5 linked regions of the Sus scrofa genome follow. The protein of the gene in region 4 interacts with the protein of the main gene of each other region in a pairwise test. Links are inferred from orthologs where the notes say so. Each region holds a gene or a part of one and is shown on either strand. Other genes may lie near its edges.

Region 1 (4,216 bases), on a different chromosome or scaffold from region 4:
GTATTTTTAAAACGAGAAATGTAAGAAATAAATCAGAAAAATCGAATCGTCACGAAAACATAAGCCTGGGTGACATTGGTACCAGAAATGTCTTCGATCTACCAGACAGAGCTCGCCCTCTCCTTCTACCCGGAGTAGCAGTCTTCTAGTCAGACAAAAAAAAAAAAAAAAAAAAAAAAAGTTGGAAAGTTGAAACCTTACAGAGCTGGCTTTGCTGGACAGTGTCGGGGAAGTGTTCCTCTCCGTCTCTCGGGGTCAGCGGATATCCTCAAGCCGTGGAGCTGTCAAATCCGTGCTCTGCCCCAAAAGGCTGGATACAGTTGAACGCTCTGCAGCCACTCGGTGTTTTTTGTCCGTGCAGCCACGGTGTTCTCGGGAGCGTTCCCACCCCGCCCCTCCTCCGGCACCAGTCCCCGCCCTCCGCAGCTCCTCCCGCCCGGCCGGGCGCTGGCTGGAAAGGCTCGCCGAACCCTGGCTCGCTGGACGCCGCGGCTAGAGACCCTGGCGCTCCCCAGGGGCTGCAGTCTCGTGCAGCCTCTGTCTCGGTGGTGGCGTTGGAGGAACGCGTCTCTGGCTCTGCGGATTCAGAATCCACGGGCTGACGCTGCTTCTCTTCCAATCCCGGTATCCTCGCCCACTGCCGGCCAACCCAAACCGGCACAGGGCAGCCCAGCAATCCCCGATCGCGGGGCTGGGCCGCGAAGCTGGCGGAGCGGCAGGGCCCCAGGCGCAGAACCCGCCCCTTCGCCCAGCCCCATCGATGGGGCTCGGCCCAGAGGGCGGGAGCGGGGAGGGGAGACGGGGTCCTCACCCCCAGCCCCTCCCCTTTCTCCGCCCGGCACAAGCCAGGAGCCGCCCCTGCCCCTGCCCCTGCGCCCTCTTCCCCGCCCAAGCAGACGCGACCCGCTGAGGCAAAGCCATCGGAAAAAGCCCCGCCCTCCAACAAGCTACCTCCGGACCCCGAGCCCGCGAGCGGCCGCCAACCGCTGACGGCTGCTACGCATGCGTAACGGTGGGCCGGGCGCATGCGCCTTAAGAGGCACCGAATCTGCTCGGGGGGCGTTTTTTTTTTTTGTTTTTTGGTTTTTTTGGTTTTTTTTTGCCTTGACGTTCGGCTTCTTTGGGCTGAACGGGGGTAACGAAAAGTTGAAATACGCCGAAATTATCACACACGAGACAAGAACCGCAAATAAGGAGGGCACAGATAAACTCCTGGAAGAACTCGAATCAAAATTTAAAATCAGAGGAAAAAATAGAAACTCTTTATTGCGCCAAACACCAGATTTAAGAAGGCAGGGCGTCCTCGCATTGACTTCTGGGAAGTGTAGTTCTGGTGCTGTAGGCGCGTTCTGTTTGAGACAGAAACTACAGCTCCCGGGAGCCACTGCGACGTTGCCTGTGGCTCCCTGCGAGCCAACGGCTAGCGCTGCCGGAGATTTGACTGAGAGATTTGGCTTGGTGAGCACTGTGGGCTTGGCTGACACTTTTCCTTTGACAGTATTTTTCCTTCCTCCATTTCCTGTGGGATTTTAGAAAGGAAGCCGTCTCCTTAGAGCTGTACTCCTTAGTCCAGGGACTATCAGTAATCTACGTGGGAAGAACTAGTCCGAGTGCCCAAGACCGCGGGCGCGTTGAGAGGACATGGATGGTCGGAAAGAGCTGCATAAGGTCAGGCAAGAGGGATGCTGTGGAAACTAGTGCTCCGCGGTGCTACCTCTGCTTCTGCTCTGTCAGGTGGGCTCACGCGGGATGGACTCAGTATCCCTGTGTAAGTGCACCTTTGTTTGCCATTGCATAGGATTGTTTGAGGCTTTATTTGCGCAGAAGAAATCCTGTGCCACACTTTGAAAGAGAGTTGTCAAATCCTTTTTGTACAAAACTGAAGGGAAAAGAATCCCTCGTGTTCCTAGATATGAATATTTGCAGGCTTTAAGAATACCATATGGAAAAAAGACTTATAAAAATCTCTAAAATTTAGTAATTTTAAAAGATTAAATAATTTGTTTGCATATTGCTGTTTGAAGTCATTCTTCTTGAGAAAAGTTGAGGTTTGAAGGGCTATCACTGGACTGATAACAAATTAGTTTTAATTTTTCATGTTGCACAATACATGCGTTTCTAAAACTTAGTTTCTAAAAACCAAGTACTGGACAAGTGGAAAACGCACAGTTCCCATCTAGTTAAACTAATGGTTAAACATTATACAATACATATATAAAGTACAGTACACACATTAAACATACAGTACTATATGATATTATTAGGATGGCTAGAAAGATCACTTAGGCCGGTCTTGGAAAGTCAGGGAAATCTTCATCTCAGGGAAAGAGGGTCAAAAGAACAGCATATGGTGAGGCCAAGAGTGAGGGAGATAGTAATTTCAGGAAACTGCAATAAGCCAAAATCATATACATTTCAGGAGGAATAGCTTTTTGTGTTTTGATGTACAATACAGCAAAGAGAAAAGAGTAAAGAGCAGAAAAGAGAAACGTACTATGAATTTTCCAGATAGTTTCTGAAAGTGACCTATCCTTGAACAGAGTTCTGATGAATTGGTTTAATTTGGAAAGCCTAGAACATTCTAATGTTGCTTGTTTAAATCAGAATTTTAAAAAATGAGAACTTCCTTCTTATGAGTATGATTTCAGAAAACAAAGCCACTCCTTCTTGTGTCTTTTGGGGTGGGGGGAGGCTCATCTTCCTTTGTCCAACCCACAAAGGATAGGGTAGTTTCTTAAGTGTGGGTCTCCTTTTTACTTTGTGATTGAGTATGATCTCATTCATAGCCATGGTTTCACCACCACCTATGACTTAAATGTATAATTTCATCCAACTTCACCTTTTAGCTTTGTTTCACCACCACCTATGACTTAAATGTATAATTTCATCCAGCTTCACCTTTTAGCTTTCTTATGCCCATCTCTATGGTGTTTCTTCTTGGATATCTCAAAAGCACCTCAGACTTAACATGCCTAAAACCAAATGAACAGTATCTTTTATGAATCTGATTATTTCCCAGTGTTCCCTATTTCACTTAGGGCACTGCCATGCACTTGTGAAAATTTGAAACCTATGCATTATCCTTGATTTCCTAATGTCCTTCATACCTCTGTAGCCAAATTATTTTTAAGTACTCTCAATTTTGTCTCCCAAATATCCCTCAAATCCATCCTTTGCCTCCATCTACATAAGCACAGTCTTTTCTAAACTGCCATAAACTCTTGCCAGGAATGGTGAAATAGTGATTATTCACTCTGGCCTTTCTCCATTAGTTCTCCACACAGCAGCCAGAATCATCTTTTCAAAATGCAAATCCATTCAGATTCACATTTTCACTTAAAACCATTCAGTGTGTGTCCTACTTTTAAAGGCAAAATTTCTTTACAAATGTCATCTTATGTCATCTGGTCCCTTCCACCTCTCCAGCCTCACTTAGTACACCACTGTCCACCTATCTGTGGAGACCTTTCTTCAGTTACTGGCTCTTATATTCCTTTTTATCCATTTGTTCACTGAACAAATATCTTATCAAATACCTACTGTATAAGGGGACATTGAGGATATACTATTGAGCACAATGTATGAAAGTTTTTACTCTCATAGGTCTTCCATTGTGCTAAGGAGAGATAGACAATAAATATGTGGCATATATAGTAAGTGAAGACAAATGCTGCAGAGAAAAATAAGAACCAGCGGGGAAAGGGAATGTGGAGTGGCAAGTTTTAGGGGCAAGATTCTCTTTTAAATAAGGTCAGAGAAGGCCTAATCAAGAAGGGAACATATGAGGGATCTGAAGGAGGGGAAAGAGTAAATGTGCAGGTGCCTGGAGGAGAAACATGTCTGTGAAGAGAACAGCCAGTGCAAAAGCCTCTGGGTGCCCACATTTAACAAATAGCAGTGTGGCAGGAGATGAGAATAACATGAGATCACAGAGGAAGGAGGTCCTGTAGGTGATTGAAGGAACAATTTTTTTTTTCTTTTTTTCTTTTGCTTTTTAGGGCCGAACTTGGGGCATATGGAAGTTCTCAGGCTAAGGGATAAATGGGAGCTGCAGCTGCTGACCTGCGCCACAGCCCCAGCTACAGGGGATCTAGGCCTCATCTGCAACCCACGCCACAGCTCGCAGCAACACCAGATCCTTAACCCACTGAGTAAGGCCAGGGATGGAACCCACCTCCTCAAGGATACTTGTCAGGTTCATAACCTGCTGAGCTGC
Region 2 (3,542 bases), on a different chromosome or scaffold from region 4:
TTTAAAAATCCCATTTGATTGAAATTTTTAACTATTAGCTTTCTAACTGTAAACAAGTCTCCTCAAATGTTATCTTGGTGAGGCTTTCCTTGACTACCTTATTTAAAAATACATATTTCTTACTCTCTACCCCTCTTTCCTGTTTTTTTCTCTATAGCACTTAACATCATGCTTTTAAATATTTTATTTGTTTATTGTCCGTCCCTGCCCTCTCCTATTCCTGCCCCCCATTACTCACACACATTGAAATATAAGCCCTATTTCTTTGTTCACTGCTATATCCCTAAAACCTGACTCATCATAACCACTTCGATAATTTGTTGAGTGAGTAAATTTCTCAAAAGCAGTGTGGGGAGTTCTTGTGTGGTGCCAAAGAAACAAATCTGACTAGTATCCAGGAGGACGCAGGTTCAATCCCTGGCCTCAGTGGGTTAAGGATCTGGTGTTGCCATGAGCTATGGTGTAGGTTGCAGATGCGGCTTGGATCTGGTGTTGCTGTGGCTGTGGTGTCGGCCAGTAGTTGTGGTTCTGATTCAACCCCTAGCCTGGGAACCTCCACACGCCATGGGTGTGGCCCTTAAAGAAAGAAGTGTGAAGATGATAATATAAAAATAAATAAAAGGGGGTTCCCTCGGGGCTTGTTGAGTTAAGGATCCAGTGTTGTCACCGCTGTCATGTGGGTTCGATCCCTGGCCTGGGAGCTTCCACATGCTGTAGGTGTGGCCTAAATAAATACATAAATAGAGAAATAAAGAAAATAAGACCTCTAAGCAGTTTTGTTCCCACAGGATAGAAGACCTTGGAGTTGTGGTGGATTGCCTTCCTGTGCTCACCAATAGGTAAAATGAATATTTTTCAGAAAAAAAAAATTAAAGAAGGACAAATTATGACCTGTTCATATTTTTATAACTCAGTATTTATTTTAGTTTACAGGAAGAAAAACAATATATCTCACTTGGCTGCTGTGTAGACTTGTTGCCTCTAGTAAAGTCACTACTTAAGAGCAAATTTGAAGAGTAAGTGCTGATCCCAATTCATTTTTCTCTTTGAATATCCGTGATTTGGTGCCTCATGAATGCATAGTGGTAAATTGAGCTCAATGAAGCATATACATAGTTTCTGTTTTCTAGTGGCTTATAGTCCACTTAGGAAAAGCATATGAGAATGACTAAAGAACAATTACAAAGGAGTTCCCATCATGGCTCAGTGGTTAATGAACCTGGCTAGTGTCCATGAGGATGTGGGTTCAATCCCTAGCCTTGCTCAGTGGGTTGAGGATCCAGTGTTGCCATGAACTATGGTGTAGGTTGCAGAAGTGGCTCAGATCCCGCATTGCTGAGGCTGTGGCGTAGCTCCAATTGGATCTCTAGCCTGGGAACCTTCACATGCTGTGGGTGCGGCCCTAGGGAAAAAAAAAAAGAACAACAGCAAAAACATCTATGAAATTACATAAAATACAATTTTGTGAAATAAATTTTCAAAGGGGAAAGATCAGTGTGTATGAGTTTTTTGAGGGGGTTATAATCTCATCTTTTGTAAAGGCTTCTTTGATGAAAACACTTGAATTTTGTAACAAAATGTCATTTCAGATACGTAATAGTTGGTTTAAACTGGCTTCAAGCAGTCATTAAAAGGTGGTGGTCAGAACTATCATCCAAGACAGAAATTATAAATGATGGGTGAGTATACATTTAAAGATAAACTCATGCTACTAAATATTTTTTTTAGGAAAGCAGCTTGATTAGGCTAGGTGAAAATTTTATTCCATGATTATCAGTGTGTAAGACTTATTCTGTTCATTTTCAGAGAAATAATAAATTGGAATACTGGTCATATGTGAAAAATTCCATGTGAAAGTTGAATTCCATAACTCTGTAACTCCTGTAGCTATTGTTCTGGCAGCATTCTGCCCTTTCTCTTAGGAAGCAGAAGCACAGAAGTGGTTTAACCCTCATGTCTATCATAAAGGGGTGAGAGAATAAAAGAAATGGCCTGGAGTGAAATAAGTATTGAGGAACCAGAATGGAGGCCTCCTGCGGGGTACTTTGGCTACCTAACCATTAATATGAGAATTCAGTGTGGATGATTACAGTTCTAAAAACTCAATTATAATCGTAATTTTAGTTTAGCCTTGATGTGAAAAATGTATGAATCTTCCACCAAATGAGCCAGATTATCATGAAGCTACCAAAAAAAACCAAAAAAAACCCAAAAAAAACTCTCAACAATTTCCTTAAAGTCCATAATTTTCTTTGGAGGCTCTCAAAGTTTTCCCACTTCACACCCAAGAACCAGTTGTCTAAATGCTTTGTTATTTTCTTACCAGCTTAACAACTAAGTTATTTCTGTGATTGACATGTACTGTTTTAACAAATTGCTTGACTTCAAATGGTATAATTTTATCCTGATAAGTACTTGAAAAATTCAAAACAGTTTTCACTAAGTGTATTTACTACCAAAGTCCATATCCTACTGTATTTGCATTTCTTCTTTTTTTCTTCCTAGAAATATTCAGATTTTAAAACAACAATTAAGTGGATTATGGGAACAGGAAAACCATCTTACTTTGGTTCCGGGATATACTGGTAATATAGCCAAGGTAACCTATCTATCTGTCTATCTATATATATTTTTTTTTTTTGTCTTTTTTTTTTAAGGGCCTCACCACGGCATATGAGGAAGTTCCTAGGCTAGGGTCAAATAGGAGCTGTAGCTGCCGGCCTATACCATAGCTACAACAAGGCGGGATCCGAGCTGTGTCTGTGACCTGCACCACTCACAGCTCACGGCAACGCCGGATCCTTAATCCCCTGAGCAAGGCCAGGGATCAAACCCGAAGAAATATTTTTACTTGGCTCTTGCTAATGTCATGCTTTTTTGGGAAAGTTAAATTGTTCAAATCACAGTATGAATTTGACATTGTTCTTTGTTGATTTGCTTATCTCTTAAAGGAAAAGGTACATTGTTAGTTTGGATTTTAATATTTAAACTCCAGAAAACATTGCAGTTAAAATTGCAGAAAAAAATTATTAAGAAATATTTCCACCCTTGTTTGGGGCATACTGCTATCATAAAAGGTTTTGGAGAATACATGGTATATCACCTTATTCTGGAAGTGTCTTGTATTCTTAGTGGTAGAACTGAAAATTTGTTTCCTTTGAAATTTGCTTTCTTTTTGCTTTTCTCGGCCCACTCCTGCGGCACAGGGAAGTTCCCAGGCTAAGATTGAATTAGAGCTGCTGGTGCTATGCCACACAACGCAACTGGGGATCTAAGCTGCATCTGCAACCTACACCACAGCTCATGGCTACTCCAGATCCTTAACCCACTGAGTGAGGGAAGGGATCAAACCCGAATCTTCATGGGTACTAGTTGGGTTTGTAACCTGCTGAGCCACAACAGGAACTCCCAGAAATTTGCTTTCAGTTGTAATTTTTTTTAAGGGAAAAGCTTTATTGTGACTACTACCTTAAGTACTGTATTATTGCAAACAATATTGAGTGATTAAAAGTTCTATAAAGTTCCTTAAGCTATGATGAAAC
Region 3 (4,197 bases), on a different chromosome or scaffold from region 4:
CTAAGGCACAGGCTGGTGGCTGCAGCTCTGATTCGACTCCTAGCCTGGGAACCTCCATATGCTGTGGGTGTGGCCATAAAAAGTCAAAAGAAAGGAGAAGCCTCGGAGAACCAAGGGAGAGGGCACAAAGTTTAGCTTGTAGCTTCCTCCTGGAAATGTCCCAGAATAGGTGTCCAAAACTCCACCCTTCACAGCTTGCACAAATACCAGTGGGAAATCTTTATCTAGATATATGTGTGCTGATTACCTCTTCTCCCCTGATCCTCTCACCTCTGAAGTGTTTCTTCAATGGAGTGTTCTCCCTTTGGTGCATCTTCTTCCAAATTTGGCTCAAAACATTCCTTCTCCAAGAAACTTTTCTTTCCCTAAACAACTCACTTCTCCAGAGCTGATAACTTCTATATATTCATGTGCCACCATCAGCAATGCCCTGTGACCATTTTACTGCATTATGTTTCTGAGTTTTTCAGATGTGAATGGAGGGGAGAGACCATTTATGTTTTGTTCATTGCTGTAGTCCCAACATTTCACATTGTAGGTTGGTTTGGTTTTGAATTTTAAGTATCCATCTGCCAAACTCCACCATCAGTCTGAAAGGTCTAGAGAGGTAAGACAAACTTCTTTTCTGTAACTCACCAGTTGCCCAGCCCACTAGGAATCTTGTGATTTCTTCATATGTTAGGCCCCTAGTCTTGGTATCTTGCCCTGAATTTTCTAATTCTTTTAACTCATCCTTAATGGTTATAATAATATATAATAAGCCAGTCTGCCTAGCTCCAATAGTTGGTGTACGAGCTTGGATTACATATCAGTTTTCTCATGTGTAACACGGTAATGATAATAACTTATAAACTGGTTGAAAGGAATTCATTTATTTAAAAGTTTATTTGACTTGGCTTATGAGACACTCAATAAACGTAAGTTATTATTGAAAGCTGTACATTTGTCTGTGAGGCACTTCATCTTCAATATCTTGTCTGAGGAATCCAGCGACCCTATGAGATAGCAACGTTTACAGAGGAGAAAGCTGAGGCTGAGAGTTACTTATCCAAGGTCACGGGCCGGCGTGACTCCTAACCAGACTCGCACCCCCCCCCCCGCGTCTCCTGGTGCCCCATCTCCGGTTGCCAAATGGAAACAGCCTCACTCCCGGTAAGGTAGATTACCTGGACGGCCGGGAGCAGGTTTAGGCCGGGGGCGACAGCGATCCGGGGCGTCAGGCTCAGAGAGCTAAGAGCGCGGGTCAATACCCGCAGGGCCATGATTGGCCAGGCTCGGTTGGGTTCAGCACACCACCATCACCTTTAGCGAGGAACCCTGGCGCTACTGGATGACGCTAACTGGTCCAAGTGCCGTCGCTCCATCCTGACGTAAAAAGAAAAGAGGCGGGCGGAGAACCCGAGACCAAGTTGGACACACACCTCCTTTCCTCCCTGTGCCAGGTAGACCCAATCCCCCGGCGGCTCATAGGTCGCGTGACTGGGGAACAGGCCCCGCCCCTCAGAGCCGTCAAAACAATTGCCTTGAGCGGCAGCCATGATGGATTTAAAGGGGCAGTACCGGCAAGAGCTGTAGCCAGATCATCAGACTGCGGGTGAGTCTTTAAGGGTACTTTGGGGCAGAGAGTTGAGATCCTGCTACCTCTTTCTTGCACTCCCGGACAGATTAAGAAATGAGCCCTTCCGAGCAGTCTCAAACAACTCGAGTCGGATTCAAAAACTCCGCCCCCCGGGATTCTTCCCGCCCCCTCGGCGTCCAGACGGACGGACAGACGGTCCGCCCCGCCCCCTGCGCTACCAACTGACTCCTTGACCTCGGGATAATCCGGCCCCTGGTCCTCCTCGCCCGCGACGCGGACCTGGGTCATCACCCCGCACCTCCTCCCTTCTCTCCTGCCCATCGCACTCTCTCCCCACCCTGGGCCTCAGGGCAGGTCGACAGCCTGGGACACTTCACCGCATTCCCAGGCCGGGGAGACCAAGTCCTAGCGCCGAGATCCTCTGTGATCCCGCAGCCACTCAGCGGACCTGCCATTCTTCCCTGCATCATCGGGCACCTGGGAGGCACTCTACGCTGACTCTCAGAGCCTGTTAGTATGTTAGTACGTGATCATGATAGAGACAAAGCCATAGAGATGACTGGGCAAAGAGTGACCAGGTCTTCCTCCTCACCCGTTCCCAGACACGCCCCTTGCCTCAGGTCTCAGATCAGATCTCACTCTCTTCTTGGGAGAAAATAGCTCCCAGGCTTGGGGTGGGAGGTTGGCTTCTGGAAGGAGGAGGGACCTTGGTCGTCTTTGAAGACCTGTGGGCAGGGGAGGGAGGGTGTTTGTCCTGGGTGGGGCTCTATGCCAGGTCCTCGGGAGGCTGTGAAGTGGTGAGAGAAGGGGTGGGAACGCTGGACTTCTGGACTTTGGGCAGGGCAGATCCTTCTGAGTCCCTGGCTGCTTGAACAGAGTTTCTTCCGGGCTCCTGCCTGAACGCCACAACCAAGGGTTATATACAGGTAAGAAGACTTCAAAGATGAGAAACAAGGCCCTTTTGAGGAAGTAGTCAGACAGCCTGAGGCCTGAGGTTTCAGGCATGTGGGGAAAGAGGCAGGGCTGACCAGGTTTGCAGATGCTGGGCTTAGCTCTGTGGGCGACCCGCACCTCTAGGTGCCTCTCATCTGGGTCCTGTGATGAAGGCTCCTATTTTTTTTCTTTTCCTTCTCTTTCTTGATTTAAACATTGATTTGAAACCTATTTCTCCCCGCACTTTTTAAAAAATTCTGACTATTTTCAGCATATCTCCTGCCTGCTTTAACCTCGTTCCCTTTGCAGTGCTCTCAAACACCCTCTGTGCTCCCTAGAGGGCTGTCTCTCCTCTCCTGATTCCTTTTCTTAACCCCAAATCTGTCTCCAACTCCTTTTCCATTCTGTTCCTTAGCTCAGTCCCTCTGGTACTTCTCAGCACCTCTGTTCCTTCTATACTTTTTCTTCGTTCAAGTCAATTCCTCTCCTTCTCTATCTCCCCCAACCTTAGTTTTGTGTCTAGTGTCGCAGGCTGCCTCCTCACTGGTCACTTGTTCTCTCCAATTAAACCACAGGGTTCCCCCCCTCCATTTGCTCTTTTCCTTCACTTGGACTCCCCCCTCCACCACCCCTGCCAGCCTCTAACCAGGGCGCTCAGCCCTCGTTGTTATTTTGACTTCAGCTGAGCTCTGTTGTTTCTCTGTAGCCCAGACACGGTCCCCTGGCCAGGATGTCGGGCCTGGTGTTGGGACAGCGGGATGAGTCTGCAGGGCACCGGCTCAGCCAGGAGGAGATCCTGGGGAGCACCCGTCTGGTGAGCCAAGGGCTGGAGGCTCTACACAGTGAGCACCAGGCAGTGCTGCAAAGCCTCTCGCATACCATCGAGTGTCTGCAGCAGGGAGGCCATGAAGAAGGGCTGGTGCACGAGAAGGCCCGGCAGCTGCGCCGATCCATGGAAAACATCGAGCTGGGGCTGAGTGAGGCCCAGGTGAGGGGGAGGAGGTGGTGCCAAGTGGCCCCAGGTAGATGGAGAAGAATTGTCTGATGGAGTTTTGGGTTCATTTGGGATCCCTTTTCCTAGATGCTTGAATTCATTCACCCAGTTAATAAGTATTAAGCCTCCACCATGTGCCAGGCACTAATCTTCTGGATGCTCGGGAGAGTGATCACTCAACACAACGGCCATAAAGCTTTGCCATCTTGGAGCTTAGAGTCTAGCTGGGGGAAGCAGGTGATACACAAATAAATAAGTGATTCAGTGTGCCAGAGTGATAATTGCTAAGGATAAAAAGGTAAAAATAAAGCAAGGAAGGGGATTGGGGTGTATGGAGAGAGGATACAGTTTTAGGTGGGGTGGTCCGGGAAAGCCTCACTGAAAAGGCACCATTTGAGCAAAGAATTGAAGATGAGGGAGTTCTCATCATGGCGCAGTGGAAACAAATCTGACTGGGAACCATGAGATTGTGGGTTTGATCCCTGGCCTCGCTCAGTGGATTAAGGATCCAGCATTGCCGTGAGCTGTGGTGTAGGTCACAGATGCGGCTCAAATCTGGCATTGCTGTGGCTGTGGTGTAGGCCGGCAGCTGTAGCTCTGATTCGACCCCCAGCCTGGGAACTTCTATAGGCTGTGGGTATGGCCCTAAAAAGACAAAAGCCAAAAAAAAAAAAAAAAGAATTGAAGATGA
Region 4 (4,072 bases):
TTCTCAAGTAGCCTGTGCCCAGATTCCTTTTCTTCATTTTTGCAAGGTTTAGAAATGATGGGCAGCCACCAAGTCCATTAGACACATTTCAATCTTCCCTTACCCTCCCCCAGGCACCTGGACCACTTACTCCCTGATTCCTACTCTTTGCTGTCTGTTAGGATGCTCTCTCTGGTTCTCCTTCCTCTCTGCCTCCTAACCACTCACACTCATCTGTGGACTCACCCCCGTTTCCTGTCAAACACTGAACCCCGTAAATGCTGCTGCTTCCCAAAGACTCCATATTCGAACCTCTTCCTTTTTCATTTCTTCATGTTCCCCCTATGTGAGCTGATCCATTCTCTCCTTTAACTTCTTAACTACATGTAAACCTCTACCTCCTGAACTCCAGATCCAAAAGCATCCTTCCCTGAATATCCCACAGGAACCTTGAACAAATATTCAAAAGTGAAAGGATTTATCTTTATCTATCACCCCAATAAAAACCTGCTCCTGCTCATCTCAATCAATGAGCTCACTATCCCATCTATCACCCTGGCCAGGAAACTAGGATTCATTCATCTTAGGATTCCAAATCTTTCTAGCCCCCAAGATCCAAACTCTTATTAAGTCCTATCAATTTTATCTCTTAAATATTCCTACAACCCGTCTCTTCTATAACTCCAATGGTTTACCTTAGACTCATTTCATCTCCCTACTGGACTTTTTTTTTTTTCTTCCTAAAACTGGTTTTCCCACCAACCACTCTAATTTCTCCTCCTCTGGATCCATTCCCCAAACTAGAGCCAGAGCTATCTTTCTCAGCTACAAACCCAATAATGTCACGACTCCTCTGGAAACTCTTCAATGATAGCCCCATGTTGAAGAAAAATTCTAAACTCTTTTATCATGGCAATAAGTACTCTGAGGTCTGGTCTCTCCCTACTACACTGCAAGTATTTTGGGGTTCAGTAATCAGAGTGACCCAGGGTTCCCTAGAAACAAAGCATTCAAATCTCAGCTTTTGCTTCTGTGATGCCATTTGCCTAGAGAGACTTTTCTCAGCCTCTCTCCAGCACAAGATTAATCAACTTTCTTAGCACAGGTCAAATGTCACATCATTCTGAAGACTTCTGCTAATCTCCTGAGGCAAGGACCAAAGGGTACAGAGAATGGCATCAGTGGTTGAGATTATGATTTAGATGAATTAGACTCACCTGGGTTGAAACCCCAGGTTCACACTGATGACTTTGGGCAAGGTCTCTAAGGCTGTTTCCTCATCTCTAAATAACAGCTACTTCGCAAGGATTAAGGATTAAATAAGGGGCTACATCCAAAACATGTGGCAGAGTGCCTCCCACAGAGTAAGTACTCAATACATATTACCATGACATTACTATGTGTTCACACTCTGGGGGGTATAGCAACTTACACGAGCTCTATCACACTGATGATGTGACATGGCCGTTTGCCCATGCAGGGCACAGATTATCTTCTAGCATCTCTTTATTCCACAATCTGGCACAATACCTGGCACACAACAGGTCCTTAAATTTTAAATGAATAAATAAAATACTTCAAACCCCTATACTGTATAACACAAAGCGCTGATTTTTTTTCTAGTGACCTTATTAAACCTACTTTTTAATCTCCTCATACAAAATCGCTACTTTAAGTTTATAGAGACCAGCTTCATTTAATCAAGAGAAAAGGAATTTTATAGTGGCCTTATGTTTTCTTGTCTAAATCACACACATAAAATAAGCCCACATCAGCTATTTCCCAACATACTATTGCAAAAATACCAAATTTCTAGGATGCTTATCTACCTATTGAAAAATTTTAAAAGGTAGACAAGGCAGGTTTTCTAAATCTGTTTCAGAGTTAATTTTCCTTACTATCACGGCCTGAGCAAACTTTAGGAGCCAAGGTGTATTCCAGAGCATTAGAAAAAAGGAAAGAAAAGAAAAAGGAAGGAAGGGGGAGGGAGGAAGAAAGAAAAAGGTGTTTTTTATTCTCCTGAGAACACTGGGCTAGTCAAAGAAAATATTTATCACTACTGCTTAAAAAGAAAAAAAATAAAAAGTCTACACTTTGAAAAACACTAGTAATTTAATGTAACCTTTAAGATGGAATCAAAATGTGTGCTGGCAGTGTTTAAGCTGGGGGGGGTGGAAGGGGTTCTCATTTTGTAATCTTGACTCAATAAATAAAATGCAAAATGCAACACGGTAAAAATATCAGACACTACTATCTATCAGCACTGTACCTTTCATCCACTTCTACATTTAACCTTTAAATATTACTGCCCTTTGAGTAATTATTAATCAGAGGGTTTAATTAATGCAAACACCTCTGAACTGCTTCAGAGTGAAACTGATCAAATACCTAGAAATAAACGTATCAGGAAAAGGAGAAAAGCCTGTTAAAACAGTTTTCCAGGTCTCCCAGCAAAAGTGTGCCATACCTACGGTTCTGCACCGCGAGGCAGCAACCTGGGAGGATGAGAGGTGCCGAAGGCCCGAGGCCCTGCAGCAGCCGGGCGGCCGCTCTTCCCCGAGGCTACTCGGGGCGGCGGCCCGGCCGGGGTGGGGCCAACGCTGCAGTCGGGGCGGGCCGAAAGGAGGGCGAAAAGGCCAGGTCTCGCCTCCGCTTCCCCTTCCCAGCGCTCAGAACGCCGTTCCGCGACCCCCCACAAGCCCCCTCACCACAAAGAGAGAGACTGGTCCCTCTCCGGCTCCGCTCAAACTTTATCGGTCTTTCTCAGTCGTCGGGGCCGCCGGGCTCTGTAGGCCGCCCATCCAGGCCGCCCCACCAGGCCACAAGCCTGAGGAGCCGCCGAACTACAATCCCCATAGTGCTCCGCGCCCCGCGGCGCTCCCCCTCCCGCCGGCACGCACTGCCTGTCCCGCCGCGCACTGCCCCCGGGTCTGCTGAGGCGGGGGCCGGGGAGGGACTTTCAACCCGGGGACCTCACCACGGGCTGGCTTGCTGGCGCCCGTCTCCCTCAGATTCATTACCTAGGTGCCGCAGGTCGGCCGACCGTTTTGCTGCGGGGCAGGTGGGGTGGGGGTGGGGCACAGGCCGCAGCCGCCGCGGAGTCCGTTAGTTCGCGACGTGCGTGGAGAGGCGGTGGCGGCGGCGGCGTACGGTTGCCATGGCAGCTGTGGTCCGCACGGCGGGGCGGGGGAGGAAATCGGGGGCTTGGAGTCAGCTCCAGGGAGGAGCCTGGGAACCCGCCCGGGTGCGGGGGCAGGGAGGCGCGAGGGTGCGTCTGGGAGCGGAGGGAGAGCGTGACATTGAGGAGGACGGTGACGAATTGCGCTCTCTTACCGCCGATGAGCCCTGCGCCGCAGCGTCCAATCCCCGTGGCAGGGCGCGTGTCCGTCCCCTCCGCCCGCGCGTCGATGCCTGCTCTATTCTGAGAGGATGCTTGTGGCGTCAGAGGAAGGAGCAGCGCCCGGCTCTTTAAAGGTCGCTGGTCCAGGCCCTCCCCCGCCGCCCATCCTCCTCTGGGCATCCCCCACTGGCCAGGCCCTATGGCTTGTTTGAACCCAAGCCACCTCTTTTGGAGTGTTTCACCAGTAAAACCGAATTTGCAGTTTTTCACACCCCCTTTCTGCCATTTTCTGAGTAGGATAGAAATGAACCATTTAGTAAAATACAACGCATTATTCGGGGGGGGGGGGGCTGAGACTTCAGTTGAATTTTGAGCTATAATATTTCTTTAATCGTTTGTGGACTGGCCATGACCCATCGCGGAGATGCACCATAGTCTGAACTGAGGTTAAGAGCAGGGGTTTCTAAAACCCACTTCTTAGTCCCCTACCTGCCACTACACTTGGTAGCTGAGACCTGGGGGCAGTGATGCTCAGCGTTTTAATCTGCAACGTGGAGATAATAATCTAGTTCACAGTGCTTGTGAGAAAGAAAAGCACTGATACTGATGAAGCTTTCCAGAACAAAGCCTGGCATTTAACAGTAACTTTTAAATATTAGTTCTTTAACCCATCGGTGAGACGAGCCAGAAGGTGGGAGGCCGGAGCTGAGGGTGGGGTTTGGCTGAAGAGGGAATTTTTCCGTGGTGATGGAA
Region 5 (4,239 bases), on a different chromosome or scaffold from region 4:
CCAGGAGTTCCAGCTGTGGTGCAATGGGATCAGTGGTTTCTTGGGAGCACTGGGACACAGGTTCAATCCCTGGCCATGCACTCGGATTAAGGATTCAGTGTTGCCGCAGCTGTGGCTTAGGCTGCAACTGCACCTCTAATCTGATCCCTGGCCCAGGAACTCCATATGCCTCAGGGAAGCCAAAAAAACCCAAACCAAACCAAAACAAAAATGCTATTATACCAAATGGCTTTGTTTTTATTGGCTCTTGTGATATTTCGTTACCCATGAAGATGTTCTATTGATATCTAGTTGGGGGCGGGCGGCATCTGATTAGAAGAAATTATGCATATTAAATATTACCTCTAGACACTACCCAATAATACTAACCTATAACAAAATAAACTGAATAAAAAATTAACACTAAATGGACAGAAAGAACTTTACTTTTTGCCTATCACAGAGGAATCCAATTTTTGATTCTATCCTACATTCACATACATCTAGATAAGTCTATTTCTAATAACAAGACACCCTTCACAAATAGCAAAAAATATCTGGCTGCCCAGAGCAGCCCAATGAGCCCCAGTCATGATGATCAAAGAACTTTTGACCTGTAAAATTCACAAAGTAAAAACTAGAACCACACAGTTTCATTTCTAAGGGCCTGAAAATGTAATTTTAGGAAAGAACCAAGTTAAGGCAAATTCAATTGTAAGAAAAAAATAACTCCTAACTATAGATATTTGGGGAGAAGCCATAGTGGTCAGAAGTAATTGATGCAGAAGTAATTTAAAGAAAGGGAGGTTCTCCTTTCTTCTAAAGCCTACACATCTTTCATAAGAGCTGTCTGCCTGGGACAGCAAGCTCCTTATAAAAATAATTGGAGTTCCTGCTGTAGCACAAAGGGATCAGTGGTGTCTCTGCAGCACTGGGATGCAGTGGGTTAAGGATTCAGCATTCCACACCTGTGGCATAGGTTGCAATTGAGGCTCTCATCTCTGGCCTGGGAACTCCATGTCCTTCAGGAGGCCAGAAAAAGAAAAACAAACAATGCCCCCCCAAAACAATAGCTAGCCCTCCCAGATCATTTCTTGAATACTGTAAATATTGTGGCTTATAGCATTAACCCTACAATAATCCTGGAGGCAGACACTTTTATTAGGCCCATTTTACAGACAGGAGGCAACGATGTTAAATAATTCGATCAAGGTAACAGAGTTGACGCCCCAGGATTCAAACCTTGACACTAGATCCCAGGCTCCATCATAATATCATATGGTCTGAAGGTTCAATAAGCACTTAACAGTTAATGTGGAAGCATAGTATCTGATCGTAGTCTTTTGAATCTCCCTTAACAGTATTATGTGCACAGTAGTGGATATTAACAAAAAGCACTTGGCTCCTACCACTCATATTTTCCCACTATGTCACTTATGATTTCTTTACTTTTTATGTGAGGACAAAAAGGGACTGGAGGGAGAGGTGTACATTCACATTATCTGAAGATTCCTTCTGAGATTTGTTCCACAACAGAGGCTGTATACAGTAAGAAGAAATGAAAACCTTTTGCAGGTTGATGGTAATTTAGATAAACAATTCTGAACACTACAGTGTCACATATGTTATAGCCTAGTTGATTTTTAAATTATCTACCTAAAACGGTGGGGGGAAGAGTTTAGGGGATTTTCTGTACCGTTAAGAAATGTACCTTGTACCCTACTATGACTAAATTCGGGGAGAAATTACCAGAAAACCGGAAAACTTTTACTCTTTGATCTTGATAAATCTTTTTTTCTTGGCCGCGGGGGAACTATGTGCAACTTCCCGAAAAGAGATCGAACCCGCCCCACGGCAGTCGCTGCTGAGACCACGTGGGATCCTTAACCCCTCTCACCACAAGGGAACTCTGATTTTGCCAAGTCTTCTATCATGGCCCATAAACCATAGTAGAGCAATCATTGAAAAACGTTTCCATTAACTGTTTCCCTTTACTTTTTTTTAAGGGCCGCACCTGGGACATATGGAAGTTCCCAGGCTAGGGGCTGAATCAGAGCTGCATATGCCGGCCTACACCGCAGCCACAGCCACACAGATCCCATTGGCATCTGCGACCGACCTACCCTGCAGTTTGCAGGGCCGGCTCCTTTACCCACTGAACAGACCAGGGATCGAAACTGCATCCTTATGGCTGCTGGTCGGGTTCTTAATCCGGTGAGCCACCACGGGAACTCCTGTGTTTCTTTAAATCAAGTAGCATCCATCCGTTTACAAGCCTTCGGTCCTAAAGCAATGTTTGACCCATAACAGCTGATGAAAAACCTTTTGTAGGAAGGAATGCCTGGATTGAGCGCGGCGGGTCAATCTGACCTCTCTCTGATCCCTTCAACCTTTTCCCCAGGGTAAGCTACGAGCTCAGTCTACAGACAGCTGACTGCGAAGCCTACCCAGGTCTATAACCCTCAAGAGAGCCCCGCGGCAAAGTGAGGGCCACGACCAGCCCTAGTCCGGGCAGCGGCACCCGAAGGCAGTGCACGGAGCCTGCCCCGCCGCCCCCTCCCCGGCTGCGCACTGACCACGCATCGCGCGCTTTCTTGGTCTCCGGGCAGGCGCAGCAGGGCTTCAGCGGCTTCTTCTCCTGCGATTCAGGCGGGGCAGGGATTGCGGCCGCCAGACCCGGCATTTTTCGCGCCGAAAGCTGCAATTAGCTCTGCCACCCCAAACTCTACCGGCCTCCGGACACGCCGATTCGCCCGCAGTTATTTCCGGCAGTCGCTCCAAAACAGAACAGGAAGTCCTGCCTCTCACTCTGACGAACTGGGAGGAAGGGAGGAGGTAAAGAGGAAAAATGTTTTAAAGGGCACGCGCGTGCGCAGAAGAGGCCGAATGATGGCCTTAGTGCTAGGGCGCCTTTTCCGCGCAGGTGCAGAGAGCCCAGGTAAAGTGCAGCGATGTTTGTAGACCAGCATTGAGAGGACCCACAAATGAGGAGACCCGTAAGGCAACTCGGAGAGCTCTCAACCATACACCCAGCTCGAAGTCGAAAACTGAAACTCAAGAAGGTGAAATGACCTGTCTATGCTACAGAAAAAAAAAAAAAACACTAGTGAAAGCCAATTCCTCTTGAGTAACAGACTTAGCGCCCGGCATCTTATGCTTGCCATTATCTGCCTTACTGCCTTCACCACCCCACTTCACCGCTCTAGTTAAAAGTGAGTAGCAAAGGAGTTCCCTAGTGGTCAGCGCAAACGAATCAGACTAGGAACCATGAGGTTTCGGGTTCTATCCCTGGCCTCGTTCAGTGGTTTAAGGATCCAGCGTTGCCCTGAGCTGTGGTGTAGGTCACAGACAGGGCTCAGATCAGGTGTTGATGTGGCTGTGGCATAAGCTGGCAGCAGCTGTGTCTCCGATTAGACCCCTAGCCTGGGAACCTTACCTCACCCACACGCTTTAAATCCTCAGCTAGTTAGTGTTTATAGCTCCCTCTCCAACTGAATTGATTTCCATATGAATTGCCAATCATAGGGCAAATATATTGGTTAGTAAAATTTTAAAATGCCTTTTCATTGTCATTCCTCAAATTCAGTTAATACCTATCCATCTAGGTAAATAAGTAAACTTAGACAGTATTTGCAATAGAATGGACATAACCATTAAGTTTTTTTCCTGCAGAGAATTGTTTGAGGAAGGATGAACTTATTTTTTAAAGCAGGACTTCCAGGCATTGTTAAAATAGCTGTCTAGGGATACGCACTTTGGTTAATCAAACATTGCTTATCACCTAAACCAGCCAATGGTATTGCCCCTCAAGATGGCTGTTTTCTTGCTCTTTGTACATTCCCTGCTCCACCATTTCCTGCTCCACCAACCCCTAAGTGCATGATTGACCTTTCTACATATTTGTCCCAGGCCCCAGCAATGAGATTGTTCTTATCTAAAGAGCGGTGAGGGCAGTGCCTCTCTGCTGGTCTCCCTGGTAACTCATGTGCCAACCTGATGTCAATTCCCACTGTAACTGGCAATCTCCCCTTCCCCTCCAGGAGCAGAGACTTTACCATGTCCTGTCAGACATGTAAGAACCCCCTGGCCATTAAACCATCCATGTCTCTGTCACTGACTCTGGGCTCTTCAGTCATGAAGCTGGGTAGGCACAGGGCTTGCAGACCTGCGGGATGCAGCCTAACACTAAGGTTTGTTTCTGTATTCCAGAGATTCAGCTCAGAATCCTGAGGTGTGTCTGGGAACTGGTGTAAAAGTAAT

Evidence for each region.
Region 1: the proteins of KATNAL1 (region 4) and CEP57L1 interact in binary tests that used the Homo sapiens proteins (3 or more experiments, as listed by UniProt). The two-hybrid records come from large-scale screens. The link is inferred for Sus scrofa from reciprocal best matches to the Homo sapiens genes KATNAL1 and CEP57L1.
Region 2: the proteins of KATNAL1 (region 4) and KATNBL1 interact in binary tests that used the Homo sapiens proteins (3 or more experiments, as listed by UniProt). The two-hybrid records come from large-scale screens. The link is inferred for Sus scrofa from reciprocal best matches to the Homo sapiens genes KATNAL1 and KATNBL1.
Region 3: the proteins of KATNAL1 (region 4) and KLC4 interact in binary tests that used the Homo sapiens proteins (3 or more experiments, as listed by UniProt). The two-hybrid records come from large-scale screens. The link is inferred for Sus scrofa from reciprocal best matches to the Homo sapiens genes KATNAL1 and KLC4.
Region 5: the proteins of KATNAL1 (region 4) and COX17 interact in binary tests that used the Homo sapiens proteins (3 or more experiments, as listed by UniProt). The two-hybrid records come from large-scale screens. The link is inferred for Sus scrofa from reciprocal best matches to the Homo sapiens genes KATNAL1 and COX17.

Annotation. Positions count from the first base shown.
Region 1 is NC_010443.5:75,169,615-75,173,830, forward strand, and holds the start of CEP57L1 (centrosomal protein CEP57L1), read left to right. Parts: upstream 1-1,378; 5' UTR 1,379-1,641; coding exon of another isoform or gene 1,642-1,645; coding exon 1,646-1,768; intron 1,769-4,216. UniProt on the Homo sapiens protein: Centrosomal protein which may be required for microtubule attachment to centrosomes.
Region 2 is NC_010449.5:80,343,473-80,347,014, forward strand, and holds part of KATNBL1 (chromosome 15 open reading frame 29), read left to right. Parts: intron 1-788; coding exon 789-839; intron 840-926; coding exon 927-1,016; intron 1,017-1,589; coding exon 1,590-1,679; intron 1,680-2,505; coding exon 2,506-2,599; intron 2,600-3,542.
Region 3 is NC_010449.5:38,119,287-38,123,483, forward strand, and holds the start of KLC4 (kinesin light chain 4), read left to right. Parts: upstream 1-1,387; 5' UTR 1,388-1,594; exon of another isoform or gene 1,595-2,089; intron 2,090-2,171; exon of another isoform or gene 2,172-2,307; intron 2,308-2,352; exon of another isoform or gene 2,353-2,505; intron 2,506-3,218; 5' UTR 3,219-3,242; coding exon 3,243-3,500; intron 3,501-4,197. Other genes in the region: MRPL2 (39S ribosomal protein L2, mitochondrial), read right to left, coding at 1,167-1,262.
Region 4 is NC_010453.5:7,061,338-7,065,409, forward strand, and holds the start of KATNAL1 (katanin p60 ATPase-containing subunit A-like 1), read right to left. Parts: upstream 2,835-4,072; 5' UTR 2,688-2,834; exon of another isoform or gene 2,447-2,687; intron 1-2,446. UniProt on the Homo sapiens protein: Regulates microtubule dynamics in Sertoli cells, a process that is essential for spermiogenesis and male fertility. Severs microtubules in an ATP-dependent manner, promoting rapid reorganization of cellular microtubule arrays.
Region 5 is NC_010455.5:140,582,854-140,587,092, reverse strand, and holds the start of COX17 (cytochrome c oxidase copper chaperone), read right to left. Parts: upstream 2,808-4,239; 5' UTR 2,663-2,807; coding exon 2,556-2,662; intron 1-2,555.